2 linked regions of the Pelodiscus sinensis genome follow. The protein of the gene in region 2 purifies or fractionates together with the protein of the main gene of each other region. This does not show direct contact. Links are inferred from orthologs where the notes say so. Each region holds a gene or a part of one and is shown on either strand. Other genes may lie near its edges.

Evidence for each region.
Region 1: the proteins of PPP2R1A (region 2) and PRR14L purify together in Homo sapiens (affinity purification with mass spectrometry; 5 studies listed by BioGRID and IntAct, with this or other methods). This does not show direct contact. The link is inferred for Pelodiscus sinensis from reciprocal best matches to the Homo sapiens genes PPP2R1A and PRR14L.

The regions. Positions count from the first base shown.
Region 1 is NC_134725.1:8,074,892-8,078,636, forward strand, and holds the start of PRR14L (protein PRR14L), read left to right. Parts: upstream 1-1,430; 5' UTR 1,431-1,514; intron 1,515-2,870; exon of another isoform or gene 2,871-3,016; intron 3,017-3,021; exon of another isoform or gene 3,022-3,141; intron 3,142-3,745. Other genes in the region: GATOR1 complex protein DEPDC5, read right to left, coding at 224-281.
Region 2 is NC_134734.1:2,926,587-2,930,331, forward strand, and holds the start of PPP2R1A (serine/threonine-protein phosphatase 2A 65 kDa regulatory subunit A alpha isoform), read right to left. Parts: upstream 2,243-3,745; 5' UTR 2,236-2,242; coding exon 2,083-2,235; intron 1-2,082. UniProt on the Homo sapiens protein: The PR65 subunit of protein phosphatase 2A serves as a scaffolding molecule to coordinate the assembly of the catalytic subunit and a variable regulatory B subunit.

The DNA of each region.
Region 1 (3,745 bases), on a different chromosome or scaffold from region 2:
CATTTTAGTTCGTATTCTACTATCAATGATATTTCCACCTTCTGACCAGTGACACAGTAGATTACTCAAAAGTTCCTCCCTTAAAATTTTGTTTGAAAAAGCTTAACAAAAATGGAAGCCAGCTTCCTTACAGTTCATTAAAATATTATAGAAAACTGCCAGTTATATCACTGATCATGAAATGAGCAGCCCCCAAAACACTTATGAACCAATGGATACTGACCACTGCCACCAAAGCCCTTCTTGTGTATGACGAGTTTGTAGACCTTGTTGGTTCTCATTTTGAATCCTGGTTCTTCTCAGCTACTCCAAGCAAAGCAGACAGATGACATCCTGTCTCCTTGGTAAGTAAAAACAACACAAAGAAACTTACTCCTTTTCTTATTATAAAGCTCTTGACAGCACTATATTTCAAGAATTAGCCCTATAGGTTCCAGTCTCACAGAGAAACACCAGGAACACTCCACAACTCCACAGAAAATGCACCTGCATCAGTTCCATAGCTACCTAAGATCTCCTACTTGCCAATATGCTTAACTCTGGTCACATCAGGGTTGTTATAACTTATTATTATGATAGAATTTTGGTCTTTCACGTAAAAAAAATAACCACACCTTGAATTAGAGAAGAATTTCTATGAGCGGTTGAAAATGCAGCCTGATTCAGGAGCACTCACCCACACATTCTCTGCAGAGAGTAACATTCAAGTCTAAAGCTTGAATAAAAATGCTGCAGCTTTTCTGAGCTGCAAACTCACCCTAACCCCCCCCCCCCCGCCCAGATTGACGCCCCACACCAATGACTATACCTAGGGTCAATAATATCTCATCCCCGGGACTTAATCCCTTGCAGAATGACAACTCCCTGGTCAGCAAAGGCCACCCTCCCCTTCCCAGCCAGCGCTGCAGGAATCATGAAAACCCCCAAGCCGGGGGGTCCAGTCTCCTTTGGTCGAAGGCTCCACCTTAGCCAGGGGGATGAGCCCCCTTTGGGAGCAGACCCGCCCCCACCCACCAGGGACGCTGGAGGGAAGCTGGTGCAATTGCCTGAGCATGGTCTCCCCACCCCCGAAGGGAGGCAAATCCCCCTCCTCCCAGTGGAGAAGGAGGGGAGCCACAAGCACATACTACCCCCCCCCCCCGGCCAAATGCGAAGGGGTGGGGGAGGGGAAAAGCCACCCCCACTTGCCCAGTCTCACTGGCCCGGGCGGGGGGGGAGGGGTGACTCCCGCGCAGCTGCCTCACTTCCTCATCCGGGACTTGTGGCGGACAGCGCGTGTCACGTGACCACCGCCCGGTGCGGCGGCGGATAAGAGACCGGAGGGGAACAAGCGGCTTCTACTGACAGGGCCGCTTCACCGCGGGTCTCAGGGACGGGAACGCCGCCCAGCAGGAGCAGCCCCTCCGGGTGGGGCCAATTCCCCCCCCCCCCCCCCCCCCCCCCCCCCCCCGTGAGCCGAGGCCGCGCCTGGGAAATGCAGCCCGCGGGGGACTGTCTCTGACGCGCCTGACCAGGTGAGAGCGGGACGGTTTTCGTCGTTACACCGCCCCTGGGCAGCGTGGGGGCCCGTTCCTCCAGCCCCCGGGCCTTGGGGAAGGCGGGTTGTCCTGGGGCACGGCTCTAGCGGGGTAGCGAGGCCGCCTTTACAGTGTAGACAGTCCTGTAGCCCCAGAGCAGGCTGAGTACGCTCAGACCCTGGGGACCCCAGTGAGTCTATTACACCAGGGTATTCTGGCAGATCTGGTTGCTGTTAGGGTGAACTTACATATTCAGTTTTGAAATGTGAAAAAAACATAAACAAGAGGTTGCCAGACCGCTGTCAGGACTAAAAAATGAGTTGTTTCCCATCCATCATTTCTTCATAGTTCCTCTTTGCTTTCTCTCAGTTCTTTCCCTCCCCCTGGCTCCCTCCAGATCCTTTTCCCCTGCAACCAGATTAGGCTGTTTACTAGCAGAGACCAAATCCTGCCAACTGATCATGGTGGACCCTACTCTTGTATAGAAATTAATTGTCTTCATTAGGGCGTAATGGTGTCCCCACATGGATAGATTCCCAGGAATGAGTAAAAGAAAGTAACTTCAAGAAATAATGGGACTGATACTATTGTGGGACCAACAAGAGCCCTGATGATCTTAGGGATCAGAAAAAGGAATGAGGAGAAATGCCAGAGTTTCACTTTTAGTATGTAAGCTCTTTGAGACCAGAGCTGTAATTTATCATATAGTTATGCAGTACCTGCTGTGAGGGGGCTGTAGGTGGGTTGGTTTTTAGAGGTATGAATAGAAGCTAAATGTTCTAAATAATCATTGTGAAGTGTCCGGTAAAAGGCCAAATTTGCTCCTGCTTGTCTCAGTAGGAATTATGCCAATGCTTTCAATGGAAAATGGCTTGAACCCTAAATCTGGGTATACGTGATATGTCTTCTTTGAGGAATGCTAGCAAAACCAGCAAAATAAATTTTTTCATGCCTTTCTTCATTTCTGAAAGAGAGTCAGACTTTGGATGGATTTTTAAGTTTTCTGATGTCTCTTCATCCACACATGCTGCATATAATAGGACACATGTCGTTTTAGTGCATAAGCTGGCAGGTATTCCACTATATCATGCCTCTAAATAGCATGATGTTAGTGTTTCTGCCCATCTGCTTGGTGGTAGGCGACAAGGCGTCTACATGGGATGGTGCTGCTGGTTTTCTGCATGTCACTGGTGTGAGGGGACAGCGGGAGAGGCACACTAGTCCCGCAGGGCTGGGGTGTGGGAAGGAATATTAAGAGTGCCTGATAGGAACGGGGCGGGGGGGGGGTGCTTGGAAGAATTGCAGCAGCTGAGGGAGGGAGGTGCCTAGAAGAGCCCGCCGGGCTGACGTGCGGAGGGAGGTGCGTGGTAGAGCCGTGGCGGAATGAGGGAGGAAGGTTCCTGGGAGAAGCCGACGCGCGGAGGGAGGCGCTTGGAAGAGCCCGCCGGGAGTCTTGGGAGGCGCACGGACGCGCAAGCGAGGCCGGGCGTTGGCCCGCGGTGAGCGAGCGGCAGCCAATGGCTGGGCGAGGAAGTGATGTGACCATAGAGCGGAGGGGGGGGGCAGTGGAAAGAGCGGCGCTCGGTGGAAGACGCGAGGCTGGCGGCGGCCTGAGCCCGCTCAGGTAAAGGGGCGCCGCGCGCCCCTCCCCCACCCCGTCGCGCTTCTGTCGCACTCTAGGCCGGGGGGGGCCTTGGCTTGGGCCTGTCCCCCCCCCCCACTGCTGAGCTGGCCGCTCCCGATAGGGAGGGACCTGGCACCCCCAGAAAGGGGGGCTGCCCGTGGGGGGGGGGCGGGACCTAGCACCAAGGGGGCCCTTTCTGGGGGGGATGTGGAGACGTGGCAGCCCCGGGGGGGGGGGGGCGCTGAGCTCGGCTGCCTGGGGCGGGGCCCCTTGTGGCAGGGGGGCGGTTCTTCCCTCTGGGGGGCCTGTGGGGCTGCCACTAGTGAGTGTGTCAATGGGCACAGGGCCCTCTGCACCCTTCCCGGGGTGATGAGAGCAGCACCAGCTTGATGGCCTATTACTTCCCTTGAGATGCCTGCGGTAAAGACTATGAAGGGTACTCGGGAGAAGTCTGGGGGGCACGTCCACACATCTGAAATTTGGAGAAAACTGAATTTTTGTTTTAAGTTTTACAGCACTTTATTATTTTTGTACTTTTTACACCCAAAAATGTCATCGCCCGCCCAGCTACCATTACGTTGTTTAAACAAATATATTGCAATGG
Region 2 (3,745 bases):
CGAGCACCTGGAGTCAGAGCAACGACAAGTCAAGAATTTCTTCGCTTCACATCCTTTCGCTCCTCGATTTTGTTCTCAGCATCTCAAGTCTGGGCTCAGTGCCTGTATCTTCCCTCTTTCTATCCGCCCCTTTCCTTGTTAATTTAACGCCCTCCTGCCTACTCCAGAGAAGGTTGGGCTCTCTTCCAAGCTATGCAGCCAACAAGCCCATAGACAGTGGACAAATGTTTGCATTCAGAAGGGAAAAGAACTGGAGTCCTCTGCTCTAATGCCCAACACCCTACCCCCCTCCCAAAGCTGTAGCTAGAACCCAGGAGTCCCAGCTCCCAGTTCGTCCTAATCTACCATCTAGACCCACACAACCAATGATCCCTTAGAGGGAAAAAAATGGTGCACATGACAAAATGTATTCTGCACAAGGCATGTGCAGATATGCACCACCAGTAGAAACACACGCTGCCGGCTGTGGGCGCTCTGCTACTCAGCTGCATGGCATCTGAATCTGTTCTTGAGCTTACAGGGAATACTGCTCACAACCTTTCCCAGCATTGGGAAGGGAACCCAGGAATCCTGCACTTTGGGTCTCCTTCTTCTCTAACCAATAAATCACACTCCCCATCCCAATCCTACATGCAGCCCAGAGGCCTTCCCCTTTGCAGGGTGTACTCCCACTCCCTTTCACTATGTCACCACCGGGGCATCCTGTCTGGCCAGTTCTGATCTTCCTGACACACCCACCCTGGGAGCGACTCCCTGGAGATAGCCAGGGAGAGAAGGGATTGGGAGAAGACAGACACCCCACCCCTAGGTATGTGCTTAGACCCCCAATGAGGTTCTAAAAAGTCATATGTGGATCTAACACCCTCCCCCTTTAGCTCCACTCACCCAACAGGCAACCCCCTTCCCTACTGGGAAACTTCTGCTCTGCTCCCATGTCCTCCATCTCCCACCACCCTCAGCCTCAGCTCACAAACTACCTGATCCCACAGGCACCCCCTGCAACAAGCCCCCTCTCCCCCAAACAGGAAGTCTGGAACCCAAGCCCCCTCTCCCCCAAACAGGAAGTGACCAGAGGCCTGTGCCCTCTCCATATGTACCATGGTTATAAAGCAGAAACTTTTCCAATCAGGCAGCTACTTACGGGCTAGTCCCAGGACTGGTTCCCCCGGGGGAAGTGCCCTCATCACACCAAAGCCTTCCCCAGCCAATTGACCGCAGCAGCTCACCGGTGGCGGGAAGGGAGGGGGGGGCCACGGGGCACAGGTTTTTGCAAGCTTGGGACACAAGTCATGGTGGCACGTAGTAAGGTGCTGATGGGGAGGACGCCCCTGCGATTGGCTATAGGGAGCCAACCTGTCCTGGGGTGCGCCACCACCAGCCACATTCAGCATCTCCTTGAGGAGACCCAGGATTGGCTCCCACAGGGACAGGCGCCTCGTGACAGACACTTCCCCCAGCCAATCACAGAGTGTGCAAGGATGAGTGCCCCCCCCCCCACTAGACCACAGGGAGCCCCCCAGGGAGAACCCCATTTGTCAGGGTACACCCTGCAGCGGTCTCTGTGATTGGCCAGACTTGGGGCGGGGCATGGTATATTGTGGGGTCAGGGAGCCAATTATCAACCTCCTGCCACCCACCCAACCCTGGAGGGGAGGAGTCAGAGCTTGTGATTGGCTAGGTTGGGAGAATATACCCGGGAAGGGGCCAATCAGACACCCCCTCGCGCCACACCCTAGGTCACGTGAACCAAGGACCAGGAGTGATTCCACCCCCACCCCCACCCCCGACACCGCACGGCCAATCAGGGCTCAGCGATCCAGGGTAAATGAAAAGAGCCTGGAATGAAAGGAGCAGCTCAGCCAATCAGGGGGCTTCTCTCATCTGACCCTTAGAGCTGGGGGGGATCAGACGCCCCCCTCATTCGCCCCCCTCCCCATGCAGCGCGATGCGACGCTCCCACCCAATCAGGCGCCGCCTCTCAAGGCGCAGAGCGGGGCATGGGAGGCGGACAGTGATTGGGCGCCGGCCGCGCGCTCCGCTCGCCCCGCGGCTGCCCGCCGCCTCCCCCGCCTCGGCTGGCACCTGCACGTCCTCGTTGCGCAGCTCGTCGATCAGCACCGCGATGGGGTAGAGTGAGTCGTCTCCGTCGGCGGCCGCCATCTTAGCTCCCGGCTCTAGCACTAAGAACGGCGCGGGGTGGCCTCGGCCGCTTTGCAGGGGCGGCTGCGCACTCATTGGCTGACGGCGACTGTAGTCCCGCCTGCCTTTCAGCTCATTGGCTATTCCGGCACCAGCCTCGCCTGTCGTATCATGCCATTGGTTGGTACCTGTATTGGAGCTGGAATCCCATTGGTAGAGAGAGCTGAACCATCTGAATTATTATTGGCTATTGCTGTGTCTTTCTCCCGCCCACTTTCCGTACTCATTGACTCTAGATGCGCTAACCCCGCGCCTCCCGTAACCCCATTGGCTAAAACCCCAACATAATCCCACCCTAGCTAATACCCAATCAGCGGAGTAGAAACCAGCGCCGCCTTCACTACACTTCAATTGGGTAACGTGCCCGTCAATCATACCGTCTTCTAAGCTATTATTCATTAACAGTTCCTTAAACCCGCCTCCTCCCTTAAACTATTGGCTGCGGCCTCCAGTCGTCCCGCGACTTCTCGCAGTTTATTGGCTGCTTTTCCTGAGTGACAAGGAGCAAGAACCTTCGCGATGAATGGGCAGGAGGGCAACTAAACTAAACTTGATGTTGAGGGCGGGACCCCGAAGGGCTTGCAGATATGTTGCCCGGAGCAACAGTGGCGTCGGCCATCTTGGATTCGTCCCCATGGCAACAGCACTCACAGTACAAACACAACAATGAGGTCGGCCAATTGGAGTGTACTAAGGCCCCCCACAGTGATGTCACAGAGCTGCTGAGATGTCACAACACCCATTGTGATGTCACAACACAATAATACCACAGCTTGCACCATAACATCATGCCTCACCTATGAAGTCATGGAAATGTAGCCGTGTTAGTCTGGTGTAGCTGAAACAAAATACAGGACAATGTAGCACTTTAAAGACTAACAAGATGGTTTATTAGATGAGGAGCTTTCGTGGGCCAGACCCACTTCCTCAGATCAAATAGTGGAAGAAAATTGTCACAACCATATATACCAAAGGATACAGTTAAAAAAATGAACACATATGAAAAGGACAAATCATATTTCAGAACAGAAGGGGGATGTGGGGGGGGGGGGGAAGGAGGTGAATGCCAGTGAGTTAATGATATTAGAGGTGGGGAAGGGTAGATGTCTGTGAGTTAATAGTATTAGAGATGATAATTGGGGAAGCTATCTTTGTAATGGGTAAGATAGCTGGAGTCTTTGTTAAGTCCCCTGCGGAGAGTGTCGAATTTTAGCATGAATGCCAGTTCAGAGGATTCCCTTTCAAGTGCAGATTTGAATGTCTTCTGAAGTAGGAAGCAGGTTAGCTTCCCCAAACCTCCTCTGCACCCCAATCTCCTGCCCCAGCCCAGAAATGTTTGGGTCACAATGAGGTGTGGGGTAAATCAACTTGTGTTAAACCGAAAACAAAACAATGTCAACATTTTCAAAGATCCAAAAACTTGGGGGAAAATTGTTTTGGCTCAAAGTAAATGTTTCATTTAATTGTTAAGCACTTTTAAAAACATTTTGCCAGGCCTTAAAAATAAATTACATTTCCGAGCAAAAAGCAGCTTCACACAGAAATA